3 linked regions of the Danio rerio genome follow. Each later gene encodes a partner of the first gene's protein in a complex. Links are inferred from orthologs where the notes say so. Each region holds a gene or a part of one and is shown in the gene's direction. Other genes may lie near its edges.

What was found. The genes of interacting proteins can lie anywhere in the genome.
Region 2: the proteins of mapk10 (region 1) and sh3bp5a are in contact, whole or in part, in a crystal structure (PDB 4H3B), measured with the Homo sapiens proteins. The link is inferred for Danio rerio from reciprocal best matches to the Homo sapiens genes MAPK10 and SH3BP5. Residues at the interface, in NP_620448.1 of Homo sapiens: Lys121, Asp150, Ala151, Gln155, Val156, Met159, Leu161, Glu164, Arg165, Tyr168, Tyr171, Val197, Lys198, Ser199, Asp200, Cys201, Trp362, Asp364, Glu367; in NP_004835.2 of Homo sapiens: Val341, Val342, Arg343, Pro344, Gly345, Ser346, Leu347, Asp348, Leu349, Pro350.
Region 3: the proteins of mapk10 (region 1) and mapk8ip1a are in contact, whole or in part, in a crystal structure (PDB 3PTG), measured with the Homo sapiens proteins. The link is inferred for Danio rerio from reciprocal best matches to the Homo sapiens genes MAPK10 and MAPK8IP1. Residues at the interface, in NP_620448.1 of Homo sapiens: Asp150, Ala151, Gln155, Val156, Met159, Leu161, Glu164, Arg165, Tyr168, Leu169, Tyr171, Val197, Lys198, Ser199, Asp200, Cys201, Trp362, Asp364, Glu367; in NP_005447.1 of Homo sapiens: Pro158, Lys159, Arg160, Pro161, Thr162, Thr163, Leu164, Asn165, Leu166.

What each region holds. Positions count from the first base shown.
Region 1 is NC_133196.1:10,935,502-10,940,153, forward strand, and holds the start of mapk10 (mitogen-activated protein kinase 10), read left to right. Parts: upstream 1-1,672; 5' UTR 1,673-1,882; coding exon of another isoform or gene 1,883-1,885; intron 1,886-4,652. UniProt on the Homo sapiens protein: Serine/threonine-protein kinase involved in various processes such as neuronal proliferation, differentiation, migration and programmed cell death.
Region 2 is NC_133194.1:2,323,428-2,328,292, forward strand, and holds the start of sh3bp5a (SH3 domain-binding protein 5), read left to right. Parts: upstream 1-1,735; 5' UTR 1,736-2,025; coding exon 2,026-2,106; exon of another isoform or gene 2,107-4,141; coding exon 4,142-4,204; exon of another isoform or gene 4,205-4,475; intron 4,476-4,865. UniProt on the Homo sapiens protein: Functions as a guanine nucleotide exchange factor (GEF) with specificity for RAB11A and RAB25. Inhibits the auto- and transphosphorylation activity of BTK. Plays a negative regulatory role in BTK-related cytoplasmic signaling in B-cells.
Region 3 is NC_133200.1:14,770,371-14,775,079, reverse strand, and holds the start of mapk8ip1a (C-Jun-amino-terminal kinase-interacting protein 1a), read left to right. Parts: upstream 1-1,579; 5' UTR 1,580-1,774; intron 1,775-4,709. UniProt on the Homo sapiens protein: The JNK-interacting protein (JIP) group of scaffold proteins selectively mediates JNK signaling by aggregating specific components of the MAPK cascade to form a functional JNK signaling module. Required for JNK activation in response to excitotoxic stress.

The sequences.
Region 1 (4,652 bases):
AGTCAATGAATACAGATCAGCTTTCTTTAAAATAAATCTTTGTTTGTGTTTAATAGAAGATCATGTTTTGGTGAAAAGTAATTTTCATTTTGGGTGGACTATCCAATTAATATCTTCTAAATGTATAAGCTTATTTTTTTATATTAACAATAGCTATTCTATATAGAAAAAAACATTGATATCCAGGATAAACATACATGCAAACTATGGGTGCAGTGTTTTGTGTCACTTACAAGGCAGTACTCAATTCGCGAGTGAATCGCGACTGAATCGTTCATTTGAACCGATTCTTTTAATTTAAAGGAAGATTATACAGGAAAGAACTTTAAGGTAGGAATGAATTAAAAGTAATAAAGGTACAACATTATGGACGTTTTTGTCATCTCTAATTCGAGCATGCTTGAAAATAATTTGGATTTAATGATTAATATTTCCAGTTTAATAACCATCTGTAATAATGCACACAAGTATGCATATATTTCAGCAAAGATTAAAAGAATCGCATATGCATTCATTTACTATTTAAATGACAAATGTTAAATGATTTGGAGTAATGTAATGTTTTAGAAGCTCAAAATCGAAGCATAAAACATTTGTGCAGTTTGTTGCAAAATGGACTGCACTGAAGAAAAGAGTAAACCAATTAAAGCAAAATAAAATTGACTGAACTGGACAAAGAGTTCCTATATCAAAGACAAATAATGTCAAATAAGAAATTTAAAAAGCCCCTCAGGCTTTCCTTGCCTATTTTTATTTATTTATTTATTTATTTATTTATTTATTTATTTATTTATTTATTTATTTATTCATTCATTCATTCATTCATTCATTCATTCATTTAGTTATTTTTTTGAAGGTGGAAATCTGACATATGTTTCTTTGTTGCTTTAATAATCTGTGCATTTAGTTTAATGCAATGGCACATTGTGACTCTAAAACACATCTCTGTTAAAATGAGCCAATTACTGCAGGCTTTGGCAAAGTCCAAGGTACTGCTGTATGGACGTTGTCAGTTTTTCTAATTCGAGCATGCTCGAAAATAGTTTGGATTAAATGGTTATATTTACAGTATAATAACCATAACATATGAGTATGTTAGCCTACTTTCCATTGATTTATAACTGCTGCATACAATTGAACTCTAATTTTTGTCTTTTTTTCGTGTGTTTCTCTGTTTGTTCATTTATTTAAAAGTGCAATGTGTGCCAGAGCAAAAAAAACTAAAATTTGACCAAAATTAATCGTTTGAGAATATCATACTGTTTAATTCACTCGTTCTGATCTTGCTTTTACAATTTTCACAATTTTAAGCATATCCAGATAACAACACGCTAGATTCGATTTTAGTTATACTTTTTAATAGCCGCCCCCTAAGTCTCCTGTGAGGCGATTCATTCTAACTGATTCTTCGAACGAACCGATCGCTTCAAAAGAATCGCCTCGCTCTGTCTCTCTGCCCGCCTCCAAACACGCAGTCGGCGGTCATGTGCGCAAAGATCCGCCAATCTCCAGATGCGCGATCAGAGCGCCGCTCCTTTCCATCTCCTCCTCACTCCTATGAGACCGCTCTCGTCTTTGACGTCATCGTGTGCTCCCTCCCGTTGCCAGGCAACCCGTCTCCCGCACCCCCCACTCTCTCCTCCTCCTCCTCCCGTTTTGCCATCACTACGCTGGTAGGATCCATAATGGTACAGGCATCATCCTGCAGCACAATGGTGAGCGCGCAGTGATTCAGCATCGCAAACTCAGGCTTTAATCCAGCGTTAGACTTTCTTTTCATCTGTTTGATACAGTGGTTTTTAAAAGATTCGCCTGCCGGGATGTTTTGAACAGGACTGGACTGTCACCGGACCGGGATCATCGGACGGGCAGCTGGCACGGAATGGTAGGTCGGTCGGTCGGTGGGGAGATGTTGATGCGGGAACCTGAAGGGTGGGGTGATGAATATTGATCGAAATGAAGGTTAATGAAGTCGATGCTTTCGCGGCTTAGCCAAATAAATGATCCGTCACGAAGGTCGAACGATGTCCGAAATGGCAGGATTTCTCCGGTGTTTACCAGATCTGAGCGAGTGCGAGCGCACGTCCATCCGTGTTTTTCCTGCATCACTCGCGGTCCTGCATCATCATATGTCCTGTTTTCAGGGACCGCAGGCCTTTGTTAGAATATGGATTGATGGAATCTGGAGTCACAACAATGACGTGATTACGCAAAAGTCGATTCATTTACATGCGTTTCGGATGTTTGATTCCAATATTATATCATGTTGCATTTCAAAAAATGCAGAATTGCTAGTAAAATACTTTATATGGTATATTTTCACAATATGTCTCGCATTTGATGTTTTTAAGATGACTGAAGTGTATAGGTGCTGGAGTCTGAGATGGGCCATATGGTAATTTGTTTATTTATTTATTTAGTTCACGTTGGAAGCCTGAATAACAGGAAGCAGGGTTAAAACACACCTCATTTTGACACAGTTTGATCAAATTTGAAGTTTATTCCCAATTATGGTTGGATAACCACTATTTAGGAACAACAATTAAATATTAAATGCATGAAATGAAACATTAAAACATGTTTAGATGTTTTTAGATGTGTGATGCATGATGGAGCATTTTTTATAATAAATATTTTTGGTTTCCATTTTGAGATATCAAGAAATATTGAGTGAACATCACAGGATGTAATGATTTTTATGCACTCTAGTGCATAATGTTTCATAAGACTGCATGGAATAATAACTTCAAAATTTATTAAAATTCCAAAAGGGCATTTATATAAATGTTTTGATGCAGAAGTGGCTATGTTTGTTTATACATTACATTACATTAATATATTGACTTGAAGTTATTTATATTATGTATTGTGAGCTGAAATAAAATACATTTGCCTTTTTGAAAATTTCGTAAGATACAATATGACATTTTATTCTCAATGAAGCAATATTGGAATTAATAGGATATTAATAATCATATTTATTTTCAATCAATAGTTCTAGCATTTGATGCTTTATGCTGCAATTGATGCATATTTGAGTTCATGCTGGGGTCTAAGATGTTGAATATTTATTTTATCTTATTTTATATTTTTAGGAAGGCTACCATAGAGGTGTAAATCTATTAAAGTGTCATAAAGCAGTAAACATTTTACATATGAAGAGTTTAGATGCAAAAACCTCTAAGTGCCGTCTGAAATTTCCATTGAAAATAAACATTTTTCTCAGCTTCCTTTGTTAATGTTGAGTTAGTTCTCTTCAAAGACCATAAAAGAGAATTATTCTTTGCCATAAAAGTGATACTACTAAACATACACACAGGAGCCTGATAAAAATCATTTTAGAGGAAAATTTCAGACGGCATTTAGAGGTTTTTGCTACTAAACTCTTCATTTTATCAACTGAGTGCTTCACACTATGGAACAATCTTTCCATTTGGTATTTTGGACTATTTCGGTTTCCACTTTATGCGTTATATGTTATGCTTTTTATTAAACTATGTGGAATAATTCAAAAGTGCATGTACTGTACATGTATTTTTACTTTTTTACTCTGTGCCAAATATATATTATATATATATTTTTATATATTTGGTACAGAGTAAAAGTGGCTATGCATTAATTTACTGATTAAATGACAAAAGCAAAATGATTTGGAGCAATGTACTGTTTAATAAGTTTAAAAAAGAAGCATAAAACATTTGTGCAGTTTGTTGCAAAACCGATTGCATTTGTGAGAACAGTAAACTAATTAAAGCAAAAGGAATACACAAAGAGTTCCATTATCAAAGATTCATGTCAGATCTATAAAAAAAGCCACTCAGGCTTTCCTTGCCTATTTTTTAAAGCTGGAAATTTGACATATGCTGAAATATTTCTTGGTGCTTTAATAATCTGTGCTTTTGTTTTAATGCAATGGCACATTGTGGTATCCTCTGTTAAAATGAGCCAATTACTGCAGGCTTTGGCAAAGCGCTATGCATATTCTAAGGGACGGCCATGGACTAATCATCCGTAGCCCCCCCAAAAAACAACCCCATATGGCTAATTAGGCTGTTCCATTGTGTCTGTATATTGTTAAATCCCACAACACTGGGTACCCTGGTTATATTCGCCTCACGCTTCAGTGTCAGAGGTTGCGGCGATCATCTGAACTCTCGTATTCTCCAGGTACGCTGACATTTTGATTAGGATTAAGAGAGTGATTTTGTGAGGGAACTGCTGAAGGACAAAGCCTTGAGAAGCCGGTATTTTGTCTCCATGTGGCTTGAACGGTTCAGCAAACAATTCTTCTCTGTCAATGTTTTTTCAAGGACTTGACTCTTTTACCTCAATAGTTTATTGTAATGAATAGTATCTTGACCAATGTAGTCCACTACATTACTGTTATCTATATTTATTAGCTGGCTTGTTTGCTTAGTAAGTTATTCATATTGGATCAGTATCCTTCTCTCTATTTGCCCAGCCCCATTTAAAATATGTGTCTTAGGCCAGTGTTTCCCAACCCTGTTCCTGAAGGCACACCAGCATTAAACATTTTCAACCTCTTCCTAATCAAGCACACCCAAATCAACTCACCAGAACATTAAAAGAGACTCTGAAACCGGAAATCCAGGTCTCCAGGAACATGGTTGGGAAACATTTTCGCAAAATGT
Region 2 (4,865 bases), on another chromosome or scaffold:
CAGGCCAACTCACCCAGCCAAGGCTCGAACCAGTGACCTTCTTGCTGTGAGGCGACAGCACTACCTACTGCGTCGCCAAACAAATATGTATATATATACTGTGTTAAAATAGTTGGGTCAAAATACCATATAATCCATAGGTTATTATAGCACCTTACCAATTATGGGTTATTTTAACCCAGTGCATTGGGTTGCATAATTTAATTCAATGCAATGGGTTATTTTGATTAAATGTTATTGTTTTCCATTCTGGTATTACTGTTGTTAGTACTACTATTAGTTTAATAATTATGGCTGTGTAAATAAATAACATACTTTTAAAAAAAATTTGAAAACGCTTTATTTACTTTTAGTTCCAGAAACTTTTGTTAAAATAATTAGGAATCACAAACAATGAAGAAACAGAACAAAGAAGACAGATATAAACTGTGCAGGCAGAAAATCCTGTGTTGATGGAGCAGAATATGGAGCTCTGTGTGCTGTAGAGGCTGTCCAGCAGCTGCAGCAGGCTTTACTCAGTGTCCACAATGTACAATACATTTTAACCACAAACAAACACTTATAAAAGATGGTCTTGGTGAAACGGATAAAAAAAAAAAACACGACACGAAGAGGTAATTTGATTAAAAAAAAAACATTATTGAGTTACAGCTTAAATGAACTTTATAAAGAAAAAACAACATTACGCACACATATTAATACAGCTGTTTTGTGTCAGTTACATCGGTTCACTGTTGAAACTCAAATATTTAACCCAACTGGTTGAGTTATTAAATAAATAACCAAATAAAGGTTAAAAATAACCCAACAAAGCACCAAATATTTAACCCAACTGGTTGAGTAATTAATATATAAACTAATAAAGGTTAAAAATAACCCAACAAAGCACCAAATATTTAACCCAACCATTGGGTAAAATAAATAACTCATTGTTTTTTAGTGTATATATGTAAAACAGTTAACAGATAATATCTAAAAATATATGTTAAACCATTTTAATTATAATATATACAATCAATAATTTATGAATTCAGTCTAATTACATTACTGACCTCAAAACATAATCATGAAATTATTCAAATATCGCAGGTTGATTTTTGTTGTTGATGGGATTATTCGTCTACAAGGAGCTGCACATGCATGATGTCGAATGTTCTCCACCAGAGAGCGCCATTTCCCAATGTTTCTCAAAGCAGTGGAAACACTTTTACAGACGTTTATTAGAACATTCGGGAATTTACATTTTGCTTAAACTCTAAGTAATTCTAAATTGTTTTAACCAACATAAGGTTGAAATATGGATAATCCGATTTTTGTTACGGCTATTCATGCTGTCTCAACATAAATCAGTTAAGTTATTGTTACAAAAGTGGACTAAACTTTAAAAAAAAATTAAGTTTCTCGCAAAAATCGCCAAAATTGCGTTTAGCTTGTTTTAAATATGAAGTCTGAACATGCAAAAATAAAAAATACAAATAAAAAAATTGAGTGTGCGGGCAAATTAACTTTTCTAGTCATCTCAACTTACACCAACTGACAACAAATAATAAGTTAAACTTTGAGTAAAATAGTTGAAACTTGATTAGCCTATTAAAATAAATTAAAGCATCATTCAAGTATGTATTGCAATATTTTTTGTTACATTTTTACACTAATACTAACTAAAAAACGCAGATAAAGCAGTTATTTCCCGTGTTTCTCTCTCTCTGTGTGCGTGTGTGTGTGTGTGTGAACTGTAGTGACCCTCCTCTTGAGCACAGCAGCGGGTGTTTGTGCCGGAGGAGGCGGGCAGGATCTCGGCAGATCTCATTCTCCTTCTGCCGGTGTTTTCTACGGGTGTGTGTGTGTTGGTATAAGCACGATATCTTTCATATCTAATGTGAGGGATCGATTTAGTCTCTTTTAATCGCGTTTTCTGGCTGTCTAATGGAGTGACCGCAGATGCGCGGATCTGGAACCCGTTATCCCGGACAGAGACACGCTTTGTTCAGCCGGTAAAGAAAAACAATCACGTCTACAAGCAAAATGAACGAGCCGGAGAAAGAGAACAAATCTGATGAAGACTCGGAGTCTCTGGAGGAAGAAGAGGTCGACCCGAGGATTCAGGTATGAGATGGAAATCAATGCGAGAATTCACAACGACAAAAAGGCTTAAAGCGGATTAAAACGAAAGCTGAGGGGATTCCTACAGGCTCTATCATAGTAAATATGTGGAATTGTCTAACTTATTCTTATTTAACCTTGACAAAACCTGAACTGAAGTTAAATTGCACGGGCTTTTAAACGTATAGCTGCAAAACTCGAGCATATTTTGTCGTGTAATATACGATTCCAGCCCTATGCTTGTTCAGATTGTCATAAAAACCAGCTGGTGTTTGATTTGATGAGGGGAACCCCAAATCGTTACATCATCTCTTATTTTATGTTACATTGTTTCATTGTTGCATTGACAATCTGATACATGTTTACTTTGACGTCATATTTAGAACTCAGTTTCCTCTGGTAAAGAAACAATTGATCTCACGTGCACTGCATGCAGGATTCAGTGTCGTTTCTGAAGGGCAAGTTGGTCTTATACTCGCACATTCAGACTTTTACTTCTTAAAATCATTTCATAAAAGTATTATTTACGAATTCTATATAGAGAAATCATGTTAGCAGTTTAGGACTAATCAGTTAATAAAATAGTAATGTTGTCTTAAAGTCATAATAGGCAAGGCAAGGCAAGTTTATTTATATAGCACATTTCATACACAGTGGCAATTCAAAGTGCTTTACATAAACAGGAATAAAAAAGACAAGTTTAGGAACATAAAATGCAGACAATAAAAATTATTAAAAACATATAAAAACAAATTAAAATGAGTTAAAATAGGTTATAAAAGAATGAAAAAGAAAACGAAAAACATAATAGTGCGATCTGTCGGATCATAATGCCATTTCAAACTGATTATTCAAAATAAACTACACAGGGCCGTAGCTAGCCTGGTGAAAATGGTGTTTTTTTTCTCAATAAGTGGACCTTTTTGCAGTTATTCACCTCATTTTCTATTTAATCATGAGGTTTAAATACTGCATTTAGGTGACATTAAGCACACATTTTAGCTGAATTAGCTTGTCAGGTTAGGGTTAGGGTCATAACTACACTTTTTGCTGTATCAAACATATTTCTTATATCATTAGAATAAAAAAAAAATGACAAATATTAATCATATATCTTTACAAAAAAGTTTTAAATTGAAAACTGTAGCTTATTGTGTCATTTATAAGATGAATAACAAACTGGCCAGCACATTCAACTTTCCTCAGTCACAATTTGTCCATTTGAATAATAAAAAAAATAAAACATAATAGGCGATGCGGTGGCACAGTAGGTAGTGCTGCCGCCTCACAGCAAGAAGGTCGCTGGTTCGAACCTCGGCTGGGACCGCTGCCATTTCTGTGTGGAGTTTGCATGTTCTCCCCATGTTGGTGCTCCGGTTTCCCCCACAGTCCAAACACATGCGCTTTAGGGGAATTGAATGAAGTAAACTGGCCGTAGTGTATGAGTGTGTATGGATATTTCCCAGTACTGGGTTGCGGCTGGAAGGGCATTCGCTGTTTAAAGCATATGCTGGAATAGTTGGCGGTTCATTCCGCTGTGGCGACCCCTGATGACTAAAGGGACTAAGCCGAAGGAAAATGAATGAATGATAATGGTTCTACTGTATGGCATCACTGTGAAAACTCTTTTAGTTCTCATATAGAATTAAGAGCTTAAAGTCTGTCCTGATACTTTATCTTCTTCTTCTTGAGTGCTTGTTTTATCATTCAAAAGATCTTTTTGTAACATCTTTTGCTTTAAAAGTGCACGTGAAGAACGTCCTTTACAATAAAAGAAGGCATTTCTCTTGATACGAGAGCACTGCAAAGAGCCTTGTGCTGAAGACTGTGCTAGTTGAACTGGTTTTTCATCCTCCACCCATGTAGGAAAACAAACGCATGATCTGCAAATGAAAACAACATCTGTGTGTCATCAGCGTGAAGCTAACATCAGCGCGCATTTCAGCTTCACTTTAGCATTGGGTTACATCAATAACACTTTCCAGATGTTGTTCCACTGACATCTAACTGCAATCTCCACTGCTTTATCTCTGCACAGGGAGAGCTGGAGAAACTGAACCAGTCCACGGATAACATCAACCAATGGGAGACAGAACTGGAGGTGAGCTTTCCACAGGCTTGCTTTGAGCTCTTGCTTGTTTCTGCTGAAAATGTTTGCAGGCGGAATTTCACAGTGGAACCAGTCTAAGAGCTCAGCTCCGCCCTCCATTCCACCACCTACCAATAGGAAGTTCCCTGTATGTGACTGACAGGTCTATATCTGTAGAGCAAACAGGGGAAATCTGGAATTCCTGCCCTGAAAGCCACAACTGCTTAAGAAGTCGTTTAGGAAAATGCTTGTCATTCCAATCCCTGGAGACTCTGCGTCTTCACTGGAATACAAACAAGGAGTAAATTGCCAGTGGTTATACTGGCACAAGAAATGTCCATTTCCTTGATTTGTTTCAGCTAATTTATAATATCCTTTAAAAGATTTTGCATATGCATCCTTACAAAAATATGTAGTTCTGTGGTAACTGATTACAGCATGGTATCCCAAAGTATTTCAATATAATTTAATAGTAATACCATGACCAAAATAAAAGAAGAGAAATATTATTTTATTGTTGACGCCTGTGTAGTAATATATGCCTTATATCAGGGTTATTGTTCTAACATTAAATGTTTTTTGAAATAAAACAAAACTAAAACTCACGCTGAAAAATAGTCATATATATACATATGTTTCCCAGAGATGGGTTGCGGCTGGAAGGGCATCCGCT
Region 3 (4,709 bases), on another chromosome or scaffold:
GTGAATTAAGTGCTTTTAGACCTGAATTTATCAGAATACAGATTTACAAAAAATGTTAGGTAGATTGATGTTAATAGATACAGTAATACAGTTTTTCAATAAATGCTAGGTAAAATGTCATTGTGCTTAAGCAAGTCAAAGCAGTGTTTTTAAAAGAATACTTTTGTTTTTGGTCCTGCTTTCTTGCAGCAGAATTCTATGTTCATTTTTCATATGTATTCTTTGTGTGTTATCATATAGTTCTTGTGTGTTTATAAACTATTTCAATAAGAATATATTATATTGTTGTGTGTATGTATTTACACACACACACACACACACACACACACACACACACACACACACACACACACATATATATATATAATTATATATATATATATATATAATTATATATATATATATATATATATATATATATATATATATATATATATATATATATATATATATATATATATATATATATATATATATAATTTTTTGTTGTTAGATAAACGTAGCTTTAATCAAGGAATGAATTTCAATTAAAAATTGGGCAAATGAGGGAGAGGATTATATATATATATATATATATATATATATATATATATATATATATATATATATATATATATATATATATATATATATATATATAAATTCATTATTTTTTCTTCTTGTGACTACAAATAATAGGTTTCAATTTAAAGGTTTGTTTTGTTGATTGTGATTTATTCAAATATAGATCTGACCAAAACTTTTGTGAGATTTTACAAATAAAAAACATGCGAGTCAAAGTTTGCTAATTTTCCTGACAGAAAGAACAAGTAATTGCAATGTCAGTAAATTTTGAGATAAATGCATTGACCTGGTATGTTTTGTGTAGAATTTTAAAATGGATTTCCTTTGCTTTGTTTGGGATTACATATTTATATCGGGGAAGCCATGTTCCTTTCCAAGCAATATCTTATAATAATGCTGACCAATATGATTTCCCTCTTGGATTAAGTCTATAAATATGCATTCATACAATTATTTTTAAGTTTTTATTCATTATCGTGTTATTGTTATGTTATACATACGACTAAAAACCGGCTCTAAATGACCGCTTGAAAAAAGTGACGTTAGTCATTTACAGGCTAAAAAATGCGTTTTACTCAAGCATTTAGGGAAAAGGAGGGTTTTGTGTTTGCACAGTGGTCCTAAAGTTATAATTAGTCAATTGTGTGTGATTGTCTAGTGATAGTCTCGTGGAAGTATGACCGTGACGTAGTGTGTGTTGGCGCTCTTCAGGTTGACTCATGATATCAGTCTGGATGAATATGAGGATGATGATCTGTCTGAAGTGACTGAAATCACGGATGAAAACGGAATTACACTCGGCCATCTCGACCTCGACACTCAAGTAAGTCAAATACAAAAAATGACGAATCTGTTATATAAAGACAGTGAGGTAAACTTTATACAACAAAACGATAGGCCTAATATTTATGTATTATTTAATTAAGGTTTTATTTGGATACTTATGCAATATGTTTGCCTTTTTGTGTTGAGTAAATTTAATTAAATATATTTATAGCCTAACATTATATCTTTTTTTTCTGCTATCTGTTAATTACTTTTTCTTTATCCTGGAGTTTTCAGTTGCTGTAGTAACGGCTATTGTAGTAGGTAACGTTAGTATTATTACAAATTAGATAAGTTATGTTTAATGACAAATATGTCAATATTGACCTGACAAAACTTGCTCTGAGTTTAATAGGCTAACTTTGAAAAGTTTTAATGAAATAAGGTCAGTACATTAAAGTTTTATCTTTTTAGAATTCTCTAGTTAGCACATGGCTATCGTAGGCCAATTGATTAAGTTGCTGACATGTTTTGTAGCGTTAAAGGTAGTTAACATGTTTAGCCTTTTGCTAACATGAATTCACGTTAAAATGTTTTGACATGTTTTTTGACATGTTTTACGTGATACCAAGGTATTCAGTAGTGTTAGCACATTAGCAGCATGATTAAACGTTGCTAGTATGTTTTAATGTGAAAGTATGCGGTTTTGTACAGTGTTTCAACACCTTTCAAACATGCAGACATTTTTAACATTTTGCTAGCTTGAATTGCTATCATTGTGTTAACTAGCATGTTATAACTTCAAAACTGTGCTAACATAAAATATTGTTGATAATATTAACTTTTTAACATAACAATTGTAAGCATGTTACGACAGAATGTTTTATATTACGTTAACATGTTGATACTTCATTTAGCACAATGTTACCAATAATATTTTATTAACATCTTAACATCTTTTAAAATGTGTTTTAAAATGGCCTCTTAGATGTTTTTCCCTGACATTTATGCTTATTTCAACTACTTATTACATAGTATTAGCCAACATGTATTTAGCATGTTTTGCTTTAGCAGGTTTTAATGTATTTCACATGTTGAGATGTCATATCAAGCCAACATAATTATTCCCATTCTGATTCAGTGTTTTGGTCTTTAGTCTGGTTTGTAGTGTCAGGCTTACCATGATTTCGGGAAGTGTGCCAAAGTACCACCTGTACAAGCCTATAAGAGTTAATCAACATCTGCTCTGGTCCTGTAGCTTATCTCCAATAGGCTGATGAACTCATGGCTCACTGCATTATCTGACCGAGCGCTTCAGGAGTCAGAACCTATTTAGATTTATTGCTACTTTTGATTCATACTCTAACAGTTGAAGTCAGAATTTTTAGCCCCCTTTGAATTTTTTTATTTATTTTTTTTATATATTTTCCAAATGATGTTTAACAGAGCAAGGAATTTTTCACAGTATGTCTGATAATATTTTTCTTCTGGAGAAAGTCTTATTTGTTTTATTTTGGCTAGAAAATTTCAAAAAAATTTAAAACCATTTAAGGGTCAAAATTATTAGCCTCTTTAAGCTTTATTTTTCGATAATCTACAGAACAAACAATCGTTATACAATAACTTGCCTAAATACCCTAATCTGCCTAGCTAACCTTATTAACCTAGTTAAGCTTTTAAATGTCACTTTGAGCTGTATAGAAGTAAAATAAATCAGTTATTTATTAGAAATGAGTTATTAAAACTATTATGTTTAGAAATGTGCTGAAAAAATCTCGGGAATCAGAGAAAAAAAAAACAAGGGGGCTAAAAATTCAGGAGGGCTAATAATTCTGACTTTATCTGTACATTTTAAATAAGTTATACTTCAGTAGCATTCAAGGTCATTTCTGGGTCAGGATTTTGAAAAAAAAAAAAAATTTTGATTAAAATTTATTTTATTCGGCAGGGATGCATTACATTTATAAAAAGTAATTTTGTGTAAAGCGCTATATACTGTAAATGTAAGGAATTATTATTATAGTTATTATTATTGTGTATTCGCACATTGCGATATCGATGCTGAAACTATATATTGTGCAGCCCTAACATAGTCCATAATAATTTTAATATAGAATGTAAATGAATTTGTTATTTGATTTATTTGGTTATCAAAATGTCAATTTTGCAATAGCTTTTAAGTTACATAAAAGAACAGCTTGAACATTCTGCAAAATATCTTCTTTTGTGTTATATCAAAAACAAAGTCATCCAAGTTTAAAACGACATGACGATGAGTCAGTAACTAAGTCACTTTAGCAATGAAATCCCTTTTATGACATTTCTATCGTTCCCCGTGAATTAAACGTTATTAAAACACAAAGGGATATCAGTAAACAACATGCGTATGGTTAGACTACATTGATCACAGTTATCTTAATTCAGAAACAGCAGTACATCAGTAGTAAATTGTGTATGTGTGGTTTACATCTCTCCACCCAAAAACCAACACAGTCACTTATCTTTCCATGAGGCAGAGTCATACGCTCTCGGACTGAATGAAGCTAGCTGTTTACCCCACAGCAAAAATAGATTTCTAGGTCAAAGACACATCATTAGCTTCCATGTACTGCGGTCTGAATATGTGTAGAGATTATTTCCGAATTTGTATGAATTTGAATGAGCATGAGGTCACCGGAGGCTTTCCGTGTTCAGTGTCAATTAGCATAGCAGTCAATTAGCATGAGGCGTTAACAACACTGAGGGGGATGTCAAGGCTGGCCACATCTGACTGTTTCTCATGTATGTCATTGTCTAACCAATTAAACTGAAAGAAAAAGCCATTATTTATGGCTGCGCTTCCTTTTTTATGAAGCAATTATCATTATAACGTTTGTGCTATGATTTAACATAATTAAGCATAAAAAGCCAGTAACATCTGACTATTTTTAGAAGGCATCATCTTAAAAAAATGAGTAAAATATGTATGTTTTCACAACTATTTATGCAATAATTAGCATAATTACGTTTATGCTAAGATAGTTTAGCTTAATTGAATATAAATTCTCTCAATCAAAACCATTCACATCTAACTGTTTATCGTGTATTTCAGCCACTGAAACATAAATACTTTATATAAGTAATTCACAATCTTTTCATGCAGTGATTAACATTATTATCATCAACATTTACGCAAAAATTTGGCATTATTAGCTTATACGTAAATGTTCTGTCAAATCTAGTCACATCTGACTGTTTTTAATGTATGTTATCCTCTAAAAAAAGATATCAGATGTTTATGATATCACAACCTTTTTATGCATTAATTAGCATAATTACGTTTATGCTAAGATAGCTAGGTAGTTTAGCTTAATTGAATATATATACAGTAGAAGTCAGAA